Linked DNA regions of Lepisosteus oculatus. The main gene of each other region encodes a partner of the protein of the gene in region 3 in a complex. Links are inferred from orthologs where the notes say so. Each region holds a gene or a part of one and is shown on either strand. Other genes may lie near its edges. The genes, in order: taf1b, taf1a and taf1c.

The links.
Region 1: taf1c (region 3) and taf1b share a complex: the UniProt entries of both Homo sapiens proteins name them as parts of the transcription factor SL1/TIF-IB complex. The link is inferred for Lepisosteus oculatus from reciprocal best matches to the Homo sapiens genes TAF1C and TAF1B.
Region 2: taf1c (region 3) and taf1a share a complex: the UniProt entries of both Homo sapiens proteins name them as parts of the transcription factor SL1/TIF-IB complex. The link is inferred for Lepisosteus oculatus from reciprocal best matches to the Homo sapiens genes TAF1C and TAF1A.

What each region holds. Positions count from the first base shown.
Region 1 is NC_090697.1:11,859,467-11,864,482, forward strand, and holds the start of taf1b (TATA box-binding protein-associated factor RNA polymerase I subunit B), read right to left. Parts: upstream 2,789-5,016; 5' UTR 2,700-2,788; coding exon 2,682-2,699; intron 2,096-2,681; coding exon 1,997-2,095; intron 1,660-1,996; coding exon 1,566-1,659; intron 514-1,565; coding exon 416-513; intron 1-415. UniProt on the Homo sapiens protein: Component of RNA polymerase I core factor complex that acts as a GTF2B/TFIIB-like factor and plays a key role in multiple steps during transcription initiation such as pre-initiation complex (PIC) assembly and postpolymerase recruitment events in polymerase I (Pol I) transcription.
Region 2 is NC_090697.1:42,662,345-42,667,360, forward strand, and holds the start of taf1a (TATA box-binding protein-associated factor RNA polymerase I subunit A), read right to left. Parts: upstream 2,837-5,016; 5' UTR 2,786-2,836; coding exon 2,768-2,785; exon of another isoform or gene 2,644-2,767; intron 2,122-2,643; coding exon 2,094-2,121; intron 1,852-2,093; coding exon 1,723-1,851; intron 1,593-1,722; coding exon 1,423-1,592; intron 1-1,422. UniProt on the Homo sapiens protein: Component of the transcription factor SL1/TIF-IB complex, which is involved in the assembly of the PIC (pre-initiation complex) during RNA polymerase I-dependent transcription.
Region 3 is NC_090698.1:66,529,510-66,534,525, reverse strand, and holds the start of taf1c (TATA box-binding protein-associated factor, RNA polymerase I, subunit C), read right to left. Parts: upstream 3,515-5,016; 5' UTR 3,115-3,514; coding exon 2,962-3,114; intron 1,954-2,961; coding exon 1,845-1,953; intron 1,182-1,844; coding exon 1,129-1,181; intron 633-1,128; coding exon 537-632; intron 1-536. UniProt on the Homo sapiens protein: Component of the transcription factor SL1/TIF-IB complex, which is involved in the assembly of the PIC (pre-initiation complex) during RNA polymerase I-dependent transcription.

The DNA.
Region 1 (5,016 bases), on a different chromosome or scaffold from region 3:
CCTTGGAAATAATGACAAACTGGAAACAACTGATATCCTTAAATCGGTGGACCATGCAGAGCAGACCTGCCCGTCTGGTCCTAAACATCAGGAAGCACATCCCTTCCATAAGCTGTTGCTCACTACTGAAAAAAAAGGTGGTATAACTTAAGTTTTGGACCACTGCCTCTCCAGAAGCAATACGAATAAACAAACCAATTCCAGAAAAAGGACATGAGCCGGGAGGATGCTGGCTTTGTTAATGCTGTGCGCTTTATCTTGCGGGAATCTGTAGACTTTCCGATTCTGTTTTGGTGCTGCTCTGTAGTAGGAGCAGACGAAAGAGGAACATCGGCTTCCTGCTCTGCTCGCGCCCCAGGTCCAGCGGCTCTCCGCGCCCAGAGCCTCCCCCAGTCCGTGACGTGGAGCCCGGTACCTTGAACTGTGGGTCCACGCCCATCTCCAGGAGAGCGCTGGCTTGCTTCTGCAGGATAAACTGGAAGGCCTCACACACCATCCATTCCCGGCCTCGCTCTGAAATAACCGCCCGGGGGGGGGGGGGGGAGACAAATATTGCAAATATTGAGCAGTGAAGAAGGGGGATGTAGTGTATTAGAGAAGTGTAGAGAGCCAAGCAGTTCAGGTCAGTCCCACATCCAGAGCTGCCCACTCAGAATGACTTCAGAAGAGCTGCAACATGACATGCGAACCTAGCAATATTTCACAATAATTAAGCTCAGCAAATCAGAAGCCTTTTGTTTTCACAGATATGGAAATCCTTTGACGTATTTGGTTATTTTACCTCCTCGATTGAAAAGAAATTCTCAATTGCAATGGAGACAGCCTGGAGACCTGTGTATACAGCAGGAGATTCACAGCAGAAATCTGAGTGAAGTCTCTCTCTCTCTCTCAAGGGCAACAGCAGCAGCAGCCCAGCAGCCCACAAATGAAAATTTACTGAAGCTCAGCGGGTGTGAGCCTGGTTGGTACCTGGATGGGAGACTCCTGGGAAAACTTAGGTTGCTGCTGTTAGTGGGGCCAGTAGGGGGCGCTCACCCTGAGGTCTGCGTGGGTCCTAATGCCCCAATATAGTAATGGGGACACTATACGGTAGAACAGGTACCACCCTTTGGATGAGATGTAAAACCGTGGTCCTGACTCTGGTCATTAAAAATTCCAGGATGTTTCTCGAAAAGAGTAGGGGCTTTACCCCAGCATCCTGGCCAAATTCCTTTCTGGCTTGTTTTTCCATTTTTAGATTTTGAACTGTCATTTTCTATACCCAGCCCATAGTATTTTAACAGAGCAAAAAGGAGAGATCTGCCGTCACAACCGGTACTGATACATGATGAAGCTTTGCAGGTTCCCAGTTGCTGCAGACAACACTCTAGTACGTGAAGTCAGCATCCATCACTTCCCATAAACACAGGTCACGGCTCTCAGGTGAAAACCCACATATGAGAACAACTTCAAATTCCGGATGCAAAATGAATAAAATATTGAGTATCCAGAGAAAGAGCTTTGGAACCGCAGCACGTCTTCAAAACTGACATCCAAACCTCTCCTAAGAGCAAAGACTAACTAACCTAGTTTTTTCTTCTGCCGTAGACTTTGAGAAATAGAGGAGATTCTTGAGCTGGAACCACAAAAGACGTCCTCAGGGTCCAATTCTTTGGTTCTCTGTTACAACAAGAACAGTTGTGAGAATTTAAGCATTTGGGAGATAGACAGTCAGACACAAAGGGGCTATATAGTATATGGATTCTAGTCTAGGTTTTTTACTGTGGGTCTGTGAAAGGAAACATAAAAAAACACAGGGCAGCAGCAGCAACAACACATTAAATAACATACAACTTACAAAAAGTAACAAGTAAAGGTTTATTCCATGTTGAAAAGAGAAAAAAATAGACAACGCCCCGAAGAAGGCTCCCCAGCGTGAAACGTTGTTTCCTTTCTTCTCTTTTCAGCAGGGAATAAGCCTTTACTTGTTCCTAATAATCTAACAGGTCTGCCTCACCTCGATGACGTTCTGGCAGGACCTACAGTAGAACTTGCCCTCATCCGTCAGCCCCCAGTCCACCTCGGAGCACACCAGGCACGGCTCCCGGTAGTCCTTCTGCAAGAGGCAGCACCGCACAAGACATACAGTACAGAAACACGGAGGAAGGCGACGCAGGCACACTTATTCTGTGTCGCTTCCACCAAACTCTTCTTAATGTCACTCCTGGAATCACCAGTGATCCCCAGTAGCATGGGTACATTTTGCCCAAAAAACAGATTACGATTTGTTTTTTTGAGACATGTATGTATGTTAAATGAACTGTATAGTGTTCTTTAAAGCGTTTTTTTTTCTTTTCTACAATATATAAAATAATGTTATTTTTATTTTAGCATATCGTTAATCGGTTCCCCGGTAAGGGTTGAAGGTTTTGATTGGAAAATAGCTATCAACCCATGGTTTGTCTGACCTGTCTCATAGACCAGATTTTTCTTCTCTCCGTTTTCGCATTGGGAGAGTTTTTAAGCGTTATTTAAAATACGACCAAACGCAATTGAAGTGTTTTTTCATCAGCTTAAGTGGAAAACGTTTACTTGCTATAATACAACGTCAAAGACAGTTTGGCAGTACAATCGCCCTTGACTATACCTCGCAAAAGCAAAGTCAGTACCGTAACATCATTTTAAATCAGTAAATAACTTACAGTATGTTCATCATCCATGAGGTATTAAAAGGTATATACAGTCCACATTCTTCAATGTTTGTAACTACTACAAACATGCGGTACTTCCGGTGTAACACTTAAATGCTGTCGTGTTGCAACCGTGAGCGTCTGTAACAAGGCGTATGCAAAATGCACACATACGTTAGTTATTGATTGGGGCTGTGTATTTATCTGTGTTTCGTTTTGCTATATGATATATAGAGAAAGTCAGATAATCTTTTTAAGTTTAAGAATGTATATGAATATTTTAGGGTTTTTGTAGGCGAATGAATCTTTAGCGGTAGCGACCTAGTTTCAGATGATTTCGTTTTATTAAGTTTAGCATCAGATTTTTCAGTTAGCTACCATCACATGACCTTCACTTCACTATCGTGATTCAGATTGCAAGTGTAAAAACGCCAGTAAGAGGATTAAGCGAATTTAGCTGAAAGTTATGTTGCAGATTCAATGGTAGTATCTGTGTAAAAATGGTGTTTTAAAGGGCTGGAGAAAATTATGAGCTGTATTTCTATTCTAAGATTCCGATTAAAACCTTAGAACCCATTGGGGCAGCTTTCCTGTATAGTACTTTAATGACTGCAGAGATTTGTGGTGCAGAGATCCTAACCTGGAAATAACCTGCAGATATCTACCTACCGTACAACATCTGAACAGCATAAGAGCAGCTGAGATAATAGAAAACACCATTGCCTGAAATCATGCGTATCGTGTTGCACATTTTATCAGTTGTGGGAATGGGTCACGGCTTCAGTTCGAAAACAGAAACGCTATGATGATATTAGACTACTAAATGAGTCGCTAATCTTTTCAGACCACTTCTAATGAACAACTGGCCCATAATCTCCACATACACAGTCTGTCACAGTCGTTAGCTGACCTTTGAGTAGGGAGCTGTGTCAGCATGTGCTGGCTGTAAACTAAGACGTAAAGGTTCATTCCATGCAGAAATGTAAAAAAAAAAAGAGAAACACAACGTTTTGGCCATGGGGCCTCTTTCAGTGTGAGGAAACTGGCATTTTTGTTTGGTACCTTGGGAATTAGACAACTGCAGGGAATGGGGATGATATTCTGAAACATCTGACACAAGGTATTTCCTCGTCTCTGATAAATGACAGGATTCATGCTTCATGACAGGGGAGATGTCTCCATATACTGTATCAAAGACAGCAATGATGAATAATGAAAAGGTTCCTCAGGCTTGTGCAAATATAGACAGCAATGATGAATAATGAAAAGGTTGCTCGGGCTTTTGCAAATGGGGAAGACATTTAAAAGGGGGCTGAGGACAGGATTGACAGTATGTTGTGGCGCTGACCCGGTAGAGGGGGAAAAATGTACAAAGCAGCCTTTATTTTAACCAGACGCGTTTCAGACATCTCTTTGTCAGCAAAGGTGCAGATGACAAATTCTGCAAAAATACAGAAAACCACGCCAGGGAAAATAAAAGGCAGGCAAGATCATGTCATGTCAGGATCGGCCTCTTCGACCACTTCAGAAAGTGTCGTGGCGTCCATATGCCCCTGCATTCCCATCGTCCCTCAAAGATGTGCAGATGCCAATCGGAAAAATACATATATTTAACGTAACGGGAGGAGGGCGAGAGTGCTTTTTCTGTAATAATGAAGCTAGATTTGCTGTTTGGTCACAGGCCCAGCTGGTGGCACTCAAGGCTCGCTTTTCATCATGCGGAATATAGGAATGAAATATAATGGCACTCCCTGAACCTCTAGTTTTGTCAAGTAGGAATGTGGTCATGCTGTGAGGGTCATGTGGCTGTTTGCGTTAAATATCTAGAATTGGCACTTGAAATAGTCCATATCGCAAACTACATCAGAGCATCTTTTTCTTTTTTTCAGATTTGGTTTGAGGGGAAACCAGAGTGAACATCTGAATTGATGTTAAGTTTTAGTCAGTGTGCCACTGTGGTACTGTCCGTCATTCCTGACATCCCTCCCTAGAGGGCGCTCCACTACTGCCGTTATTGTTTCTGTGATTAAGCTCCCCAGGTGAACCTTTTTAGGTTTATTATTTAAAGACTAGCTCCGCCAGTACTCGGAGCTCATTATTAGTATAAGTATGTCGCGAAGCCCGCCTGGCTACGGCCGTCTCCTGAGGGCATAGGCCTCATCCCCGACACCGCCCGCTTCCTGGAGGATCTCGCCCCGTCACCGTTGGACCTCCGTGTCTTGTCTGTCCGTGTGTTCCCCCCTCACGGGGATTTTAACCTTGTCGCGTCCCAGGACGGATTACTCGCCGCTGGACTCCCGGACTGGGCCCTGACCTGCCTTTGGACCTGTTTGGATTTGGATGCCGT
Region 2 (5,016 bases), on a different chromosome or scaffold from region 3:
ACCAGTAAAGAGTATGTGAAATTGTATAGGGCAAGTTACTCTACTGGTGACTCTGAATACTGTCATAAATATAATGTTTTAGCTGCAATAATGCTTTTTCAGCAAAGAGCATGTAACGCAAACCATGACCAAATGCATCTCCCTAGCAGGTAAACTTGTACAGGTCCCATTACATCATTTGTTTTCCTTATACATTTAATCCCTCAACATTAATATGGCAACCTTATTTCAATAGTAGGGATTTTTATTAAACACTCTTGTAATAAAATAATAAACGCACTCATCAAAAACAACTCTTTTCCTTCAAGGATATTCTCCAACTTTTAATGTGAAAAAAAGTATAATTTCACTTTATTGGTACAGTTCTTTTACCTTCTTTCAGGGAGGCTGAGGACTAAACTGAGATGAAAGCATGTGTAGTATACTTGTGTTCAGACATCCACCACATTGGGTCACACAGTTCCTTTAGTGGACTCAGCACTGATCAGAGGAGTGTTGCAGCTCTCATGGACAACACAGAACGTTCACATGAGCCCAGCAAGCTAAAGGGGTCGATGTTGTACGTTGTATGACATTTTATCTGTGTGCCATGACCAACTCATGTCCACCTAGCCCCGGTAGTGCCAGGATAATCATGCCCTACTTTTTAAGAGAATCTCAGTCACCGAACAAAATGAGACACCAGTGGTTTGAACGAGCAATGACCTTTTTAGGGTTCAAACTGAATGCACCTTTAGTGGACCTGAGAGCACTTTTTGTTTTTAAAAGGGGAACACTGCGATGCTATTTTTATATTTTGGGGGTTAGAAAGAATCAGCATTGATGAGTGCATTTCAAACCACAATGAAAGTAAAATGTACACAGTAATGTGTAAAACCTGCAATTTACATCATAAAATAGATTACATTTCCAGCTATGCTCAATGTCTTGTTCTACAATTCAGAACGAGGCAACCAAACTTCCACTGAGGCATAGCAGCCCTATGACTTTGTAAACAAACAAGCTTGTGAATACATCTCTTGTAATCCAACAGAAATATTGCTCTCAACCTTGAGAAGGTTTTGCCAACAAATACTACTTTTTTGTTAACTCTGCATGCAGATCACGTTGGAACATTTCTGCAGTGAAATGTCCGCTACACAGCCTGTACTTATTCACTCATTAGTCATTACAGTGACTAGTGAGCAGGAAGGGCCACCTCATATCTCAATCTGCACTCTTGCCTGTGCCAAGAGCACGGGTTTGTGACTATATGACGACTATACAGTACTTTCACAAAGCTCACCAGTTTTTGCTTAATTCGGAATTTGTAACATTTTATTATACCAGCAATTATTTTTTTGTTACATAGATATAATAACTAGTCTACAAAATTGTGAACGCAGTTCTTCTTTAAATTAGTGCAGTCACGGCCACACTCACTTCAGGTGATACAGTCTGCTTCCGAACAGTTGTGTCTTCCAGCGTTTCAAAGTAATTCTTCATGTATTCTGCAGCCTCTTCCCAACGGTGCTTGAAAAGAGCTTCCTGAATTTTGGTCAGGCATATTCTGGAGCTTTTGTGAAAACCAGTCTCTCTCCTTGGCAACGTTTCTAAAGGAGGAAACACAAATCCTTTTTACTTCCAAGAATGAATACAAAACAGCCTTTCAATTATTTTCGGTAAGCCGATAGGATAAAGGCTTGGGCACTGCTTTAAAACAGTGAATATTGAAGATCTTACCTTTGAAACTGTGCAATAGAGGCAAATGAGGTCGTCCTCCTATTTCAGGACTACAAATCTGCTGTTCATCGTCTAAACTGTCCTGCTGGTCAGACTGGGATAATTCAGCACATAGGTCATCCATGTCTCCTAAAAAGAAAAAGGATATGACATGTTCCTGTTGTGAACAGCTAAAAATGACAGGTGAACTCTTCTACTTTATAAGGTTTTCAAGCAAACTGTTAAGAGGGATTAAGAGGCTCATACATAGTTTGACATAAAGTGTTACATTTAATTATAGCACTTAAAACGTCTTTGCAGCCCTCAGTAGGGCTTTTTATCTCGTTAAAAAAGGAAAATATTAAGATTTAAGGAATCCATGATAGCAGTACCTTGCTTTATGTTCCATACTGAATTCCTCTGAAAAAGATTTTCACATATTGATCAGAAAAAACATCACTAAATCGAAGATGATCACGCATACAAATAACATTAAAACGTCTGTCCTATTTGCATATTATGTAAGTTACTTTGTATACTAATGATTTTCCTCACCAGAACCCTGTTGAAGAACCAGTAACATCCATGCCAATTTCTAAGGTTTAGTTATAAGGTCAGTTTTTTAAAACGTTTTGGACAACACTTCTTATTCGATTGCATTTGCTTAAGCACGACCTAAAACGCAATTTACATTTCCTGATACGAAGTGTATTAAAGGCTATACAAAACACCGGAAATACAGTTTATGATAGAGGAGGCTTTCGTATTGTTTTCATGAAGTGTTTGAAAGCTGTATCGTCTGTTCTTAATTCAGCTCACTTCCGAAAGTAAGAAGCACACGGTAATCCACCTTCCCAGTGTTACGACTTTAAAAAACTTCAAACGCGTAAAAGAAACATTTATCTGAAATCACAACATTAAACATAATTCAGACAACCAAACCTGCTTGATAAAACGTCTTCGTTCATGTTCCAATTATAAAAAATGACATAAATTGGTTTCTTGACTATTGAAACGATATTATGTTCATTTTGCACGAAAAAACGACTTAATCGTATTTTAGTACATTTTGATCACCACACATGTAGACTCCAGGACCTCCCAAATTTGACAGTGCGCATGCCCACGGAAAACAGCAACATGGTCTACGTCATGGACGACGACTCTGACTCTAAAGCAGAGTTCCTATAGCGCAGAAACCTGCAGCAGTGTATCTGCGCAGACCTAGAGCATAATGTTGTACTATTGTGGTAGCCTGATCTGACAGTAAACGTTATTTGGACCTTCTGGTACAAACATGTATTTGATTTCTTAAGCTTTTATTAAACACCTTATGATACAACCAAAGCAGAAAAGGTATCGAAAAAGACAAGTGAAGAAAAATAATTAATCATCAACAATACGCTGCCAGAAGGAATTACAAATCAGAAAACAATAAATTATTTTTTTTGGTTTTGTGAATATATCGACCCAATATTACTAATTATGTATAACAAATTAATTAAAACTAAATATTATTTTATATGCTATGTTACAAATTATAAATCTAACACGCAGTTTTATATTCAATTCAGTTCAAAATACTTTAGTTATTATGAAAGTAACAATGTGCAATGTTTAAGAAGGTATTAAACTATTTGCACATTTGTAGAGTAGGGTGTTATCCAATTGACGTCATAGTGATAAAATTTCTTTACATTCATTGTTTACAAGCCTGGTGGCCTCTGGAGCAAACCAAACTTTTATTTTGTCTTGTGCTGTGGACAGCACGAAGGCAAAAGTTCAAAAGACTGATGAAAGACCTGAGATGAGCCTTCACTGATGTCACAGGCCTTCCTCAGGATCTGATGGACACAATGCTATGCCAGAGGTCTTAAAGGCTGTCCAATGATTTCTAAGCTGAGGTTTGCAACATTTTGAAGGTGTTTTTTGCCTCTTTGACTGAGTGAATTGAATCTACGGTTAAATGAAAAAGTTAAAATACTTTTGATATAAAAGCTATATATGGAAGCCCGTTTCCGCCAGGGAGTAAAAAAAACGGAAACGGGCTTCCATATATAATACCTTTAACATGCTGATAGAATTCTTTTCTGGATTCTGTGGAACTGTTTTCTCAAAACATATAAGTAAAAATAATAATAATTGCTTACACTTATATAGCGCTTTTCTGGACACTCCACTCAAAACGCTTTACAGTTAATGGGTCTCCTCTCCACCACCACCAATGTGCAACATCCACCTGGATGATGCAACAGCAGCCATAGTGCGCCAGAACGCTCACCACACATCAGCGATCAGTGGGGAGGAGAGCAGAGTAATGGAGCCAATTCATAGAGGGGGATTATTAGGAGGCCATGATTGCTAAGGGCCAATGGAAAATGGAAATTTGGCCAGGATGCCGGGGTTACACCCCTACTCTTTTCGAGAAATGCCCTGGCATTTTTAATGACCACAGAGTCAGGACCTCGGTTTTAGGTCTCATCCGAAGGATGGCGGCTGTTTACAGAATAGTGTCCCCGTCACTTTACTGGGGCATTAGGACTCACACGGACCACAGGGTGAACGCACCCTGCTGGCCCCACTAACACCTCTTCCAGCAGCAACCTTAGTTTTTCCCAAGAGGTCTCCCATCCAGGTACATATATATACTTGTGTTCTGTGAGACTGGAAAGGAAACATGTTTGTTATTTGTTGTTTTGGTTGTTTTAAGTGCTTCACAATGCTTCACAATGACATCAGTGATCTCAGGGAACTTAAGTTTTTCCTCAAACACCTCAAACCCAGATATTTGTAACTGTGAACTATACCAACTGATTCACCATGGATGGTTGTGGGAATGCCAGTGCTTTGTTTGTTTTTTAGATCAACCATTATTCTGTTTTTGACACAATAATCTCAAGGTAAGAAGGATCACACCAGTTGACAAATTCATCCAGAATGGGTCCATGTGTTTGTCCAGGCTCTGAAAGAAGAGAAACAGCAAACCTGATACAATGATTTTCATAGTTGCTCTGACAGTCATCAGTATATAAAATGAAAAGGGGGAGAAAGAACGCACCCTTATGGTGGATTAGTAGAAGTACAGAGTCAGATACCAACACATTAATAAGTACATTTTGTGTACTTAGTCAGAAAACTAGGATTTAATTTGAACGGTGAAATCAGCGTTTCAACCAAAATATGTGACTGCATTGTATTAAAGGCTGATTAAATATCAGCAAATAGAAGGTGCCTAACGATAAATGCTTAATGATACATTTTTGCAAATCTAATCAAAACAACAAATAACAAACGTGTTTCCTTTCCAGTCTCACA
Region 3 (5,016 bases):
GGTCTTCCTTGTGCTTAAACAATTATGCTTCCTCACTGTAATTGTATTAAATCACATTATACATGAGTATAGTCAAATGGCTAAGAGGACATTCCAATTGTACAAGACACATCTTCCTGACAAATCACAATGAGATAGCAAGCAAGACAAAATATCAAAAGAAAGGTCTTGTTGAAGTAATATAAAGCTAAGCGCCAACCCACAGATAATCAGACTTGATTCAAATTTTATGCTGGAAGTGCAGCAAAAACGTTGAAAATGAAGATCAAAAAACAAACTTAATGTGATGTTTTTTGTATTTTTTGCCGCCATTTTACAGCACAAAACATTCAAAATACACACACAATAGTATAGAATCACACTGAAGCCAACTGTAAATAATGAGGCCTAGACTTCAGAGCTACACCAACAGGACCAGAACTGAACTAACTGAACAAGATTTGTTCTAAAAAAGCAACTAGGCAACAACCATGGTTTCAATGCACTGAAAGACAGCGTTGCGCTTTACAAAACCCCACCAATATAGCTTCCCATACCTGTAGATTACCGTAACCAAAATAGAAGTGTTCATCTAACAGACGGCTCATAGTCCCAAAGGCATCTTGATGGTTATCCAGGTAGAAATTCCGCAACTTCAAGAAATGACAGAAATAAAGCTTTTAAGACATAAATAAAAAACAACACCAACTCTTTCAACCCCAGAATATGAACCATAGTTTCACAGTATACATTCAGTATCTACAATCATACAAACTCTATTTTAACATAACTCGGGGTACTGTACTCTTACAATGTTCAATCTGAATCAGTTAGTGCTATACAATCAGAATTGACTAGTATTTGCTTGAATCTAGAAGAGTTACTTCTCAAGCACTCAAGAGGATTAAAACTATATTGGACAGGTTCAAACTGTAAGTGTAACACCAACACATTGTTCAAAAACAAAGGCACAAATGAGATGCCAGGTTATTCTCTGGGCACCCATTTACTAACATTTACATTTTTCCGTGGTGAGGTTTTCCTGAAGCCTCGTGTCCGTAAGCAGGAACCAACATGCCTTTCAACTCAATTCACTTCCAAACTCTCAGAGAATCACAAGATGTTAAAATAACTTGCAACACCACTTACATGTTCTGGGAAGTCTAAGGCATGAGAGTTAGCTGATGAGGGAATCTTGCAATCTGAAGAGAGGGGAAAAAAGTGATTAGAACAGATAAATACTACACATATGTAAATCCACCCCCTCCCGATGTTTTTTCCTTGTCTATGGTTTTTTTATTGCATAATCTTGTAAATTGTTACTGTATGAATGTATTGTATTCTTCTTGTAACCTTCTAGCAAATTCTGTCCTCTCTTACTTCCAGAATCTATATTTCTCCGTTTTTTATTCCTCTTTAGGTTTTGCTGATATTTACCGTAACTCTTTTTCACCCTTAAAATTCTTCATTTTGAGCCATTCAGGTTTGGAATAAAATGAAGAAGTTAAAAAAAGTGTGCACATCATTTTGTTATTTCACAAGTGGCATGACAAAGGAAGGGTCTGAGTACTTCTAGAGGGGGGGGCCTGTAACTGGATCGGATTACCAACAACTGTGCTTGAACGGAAGACCACCGATTGTGCGCCCACTGGAGACAGGAAATACCGCCTGCAGCATGGTCCGAAGCAAAGTATCGATCAATCAATCAAGGTTTATTTATCAATGCACGAACAGTACAGCATACAGCGGTGTTGTTGGGAATGAAATCCTTTATCCACGAGATCATTAAGAGGGGGGTAGAAGAAAGAAATTTATAAGGATTAGGTTAAAGATTAGGATACGATAAATGACACTAGGCCAGTTACCTGAATTCGGGGGCAGCAAGGGACATACAATGGGCTCTGTCGGCCTCCATTCCTCTCCTTTTACTTTGTGTTGGGCTTCTATCTTGATCTTACCCTCTAGGCCAGCATTCTGGAAACACCAGGCAAAGTTAAAAAAAAAAAATAATTATAACAACAACAACAACATCACTTTATTAACCTTTTACAATTTCTTGCATTACATCTTTTCGCATAGCCCAGCTTGCTCTCCATGAGACACACGGACAGGGAGAGAAGCTGGGGGTCAGAGCGCAGGGACTGCCATTGTACAGAGCCCCTGGAGCAGTTGGGGTGAAGGGCCTCGCTCAGGGGCCCAACGGAGTAAGATTGCCCTGCCGGCTGCGGGATTTGAACCCGCAACCTTCCAGGCAAAGGCGCAGATCCTTAGCCACAGAGCCACCGCTCCGCCCCAAAAAAAGATTGCTGAAAGAATTGGAGTTCAAACTCCGCAGACACACTGCCAAAACTAATGCTCTGGGCTCTTACTTAACTCTGAGGGGACCCGAGACAGGTATTCAAAATCCTCAAAAAGGCACCAAACCCTACAAGACTTGTTGAAAATCAGCCTTGCCAGACGAAAACAGAAAACAAAAAGACTGCGGGAGTACGGAACCAGTTTGTCGGCCACGTTGTTGAAGACGAGCCCGTCGCTGCCTTTAAGACACTACTGGTTGACATCCTGATCAATGAGTTAAGTTACGAAACGATGTACCGTCGGCCTCCCGTCATTTGAAATCTTCCCAACACCGTCATGAAATACCACTTTTGTATCGCGTATATAGATAACCGAATGGATCAAATTACTAACTTTATTCTAGGTCAGGCAAAACAGTTTTTTTTTTCCCAGCCAGCGAGCTGGCAGATAATGCAACATAAGGTTTTGCATGATCTTATTGCAAAATATTTGCAAAATAAGGCGATACATCCCATTCTGCTCAAGCAAGCACTTAGGCGAGCATGCAGGGTGAAACGACACCCCACCAAAACAAGACGATTCTTTGTGCATTTGCATGTGCAAAAACGATCCGAGGCTCTTAAGCGGCAGGTTCCTGCGCAGGAGCTGCTGACGATCTGCGAGCGCAGGAGCTGAAGTACTCACCTCCGGCACAAGACGGTCCACTCCCCGGATCTGGCCGTAGACCCCCCAGCCGCCTACAACCGGCAGGACGCCAGCGGTCCTGCCCGGAGGCCCGGTGTTGTAGGCCTGGGGGAAAAGCATCGGGGGAAACGCACTGTCCGTACGCCCGGCCATGTCTGGGCTCGACCCATGTGTCAAACCGGCCCCGTTTAACCCCAGCACTGGGCAACGAGGCGAGCGCGTCTCCCTTCCGCTCCGCGCTGCGCTGCACGACTAGGTACAAACCTGACGGGGTTTTTTGTTTTTGTTGGTTGGTTGTTAAATTAATTTCCCGACACCATCAGTCCGAAACAAGAACGCGTACGCGCCACACGTGTTCCTGTAAACGAAAGGCTCCGAAAACGGAAGCCAACGCGGCAGGAGGAGTCTGTTTTGACGCCAAACTGGGGGGACTGGGGGGTGGAGAGAGGAAAGAGTGAGCCCTTCCCCTGGATGAGACCGGTAACCAATCGGAGGAGAAGGAGCTCGCCAAGGCCCTTCAGGCTTAGTGGAAAAGGGGGACGCCACTACATTCAAATTCAAACAGCTTTATTGTCATGACCGCAGTGTTACAGTGGTGCCAAAGCGCACACGGCGAATACAAAGGTCTACAGACATTTACACAACACAAATACATCTTGGGACATGTACAGCCAACACATAGAACTGACTAAAACCGTTTCCATCACTAACCGGTACGTCGGTTACCGGCTGTTGCCAAATTTGGAAAAAAAAACAGCGATTATTGTCAAGGCAAATAACCCTGGCCTCTGCGAAACTTGAGCCGGCAAGAGTCCAGTGCAAAAAAAAAAAACTTTCATTAAACCCGGTTTCAGGCGTACTGTAGGTGCGCCACCACATTTGGGAGTCTGGGGTTTAAACGTAGCCTAAGGTGTAAATTAAACGTCAATCCTTTTTACTAAATTGTTTTTTTTTCTTCTTTTTCGTTTGGTCGTGGAGTAAAGAGTATCAGCGGAGAACTGTTTTATTTGATCAACGACAGCTGTCCATTTTTTTAATGTTGGCGATTTGTCTCGATGCGTTCCACCAGCTGGTAGTTTTTTAATTAGTTTTTCTTAGGTCATCTGTTCTACAGTATAATCGTAATTTGCACTGTCGGTCCATCAATGTGATCGGCAAACCTTGCCAATGAAGACCCAATTCGAAGAAAATGCAAATAGCAACTTTCAAAGAGGGGTCTCTGCAGGTGACGGGGTGGATTGAAATTATTTTTTTTTAAAAAAAGATATAGACGCTTCTTTATTGAGAAAAAAGAATCATATACAACTATTTTATTCCCTGCCCCTGATTGATAATTAAGCGTGAAGGTCAATTCAGTAAAAGTCTATTGGTCGGTTTACACAATGATGTATTTCGGTGTCAGGGCACTTTTAAAATGCCGCTTTGTCTCACAGTGTCCGGGGAATATGGGGCCAGTCGCTGCCCTAGTCTAGAGGGAGGAGGCGCGACTGTACCGGCGGAGAGGAGAGGAATTTAACGGAGAGAGAGGCACTAGCTGTGGAGCACAGGGCACCACTTTCAGGGCTCACACATTTCAGACACGCTGCTCCGGCTTCAGCCAGCAGCGCGAGAAACTGGGGGCTCCCTTGGCGGCGGTGTGGGAGGGGACCCGGCTGCTGAGCCCTCAGGTGTGGGGCTGCACTGAGACCACCCGCAGGACCCCAGAGCGAGATGGAAACTCCACTCAAGGCGGGCGACGGCTCTCTGACATGGGATTGGGAGGAAGGGGGCAGATAGTAACACAAACAGGTTGTCCCATCGAGTCACGTGTTCTGACGCTCCTGCCGAAGGCGGATGGGCGAGGGGACTCCTGTTCAGGAGACAGGAAACAGAAACTAGCTCTAGGGGTGCCTTGTAAATGGATGACCCTGTGCTCTGACCCCCAGCTTCTCTCCCTCTCCGTGTGTGCATGCGAAAAGACAAATTCCTAATACCAGAAATTGTATATGGCCAATAAAGTGATCTTATCTTATCTCTTCTCTCCCTCAGAGTTTCTACGCCCAGTGAAAGGATAGA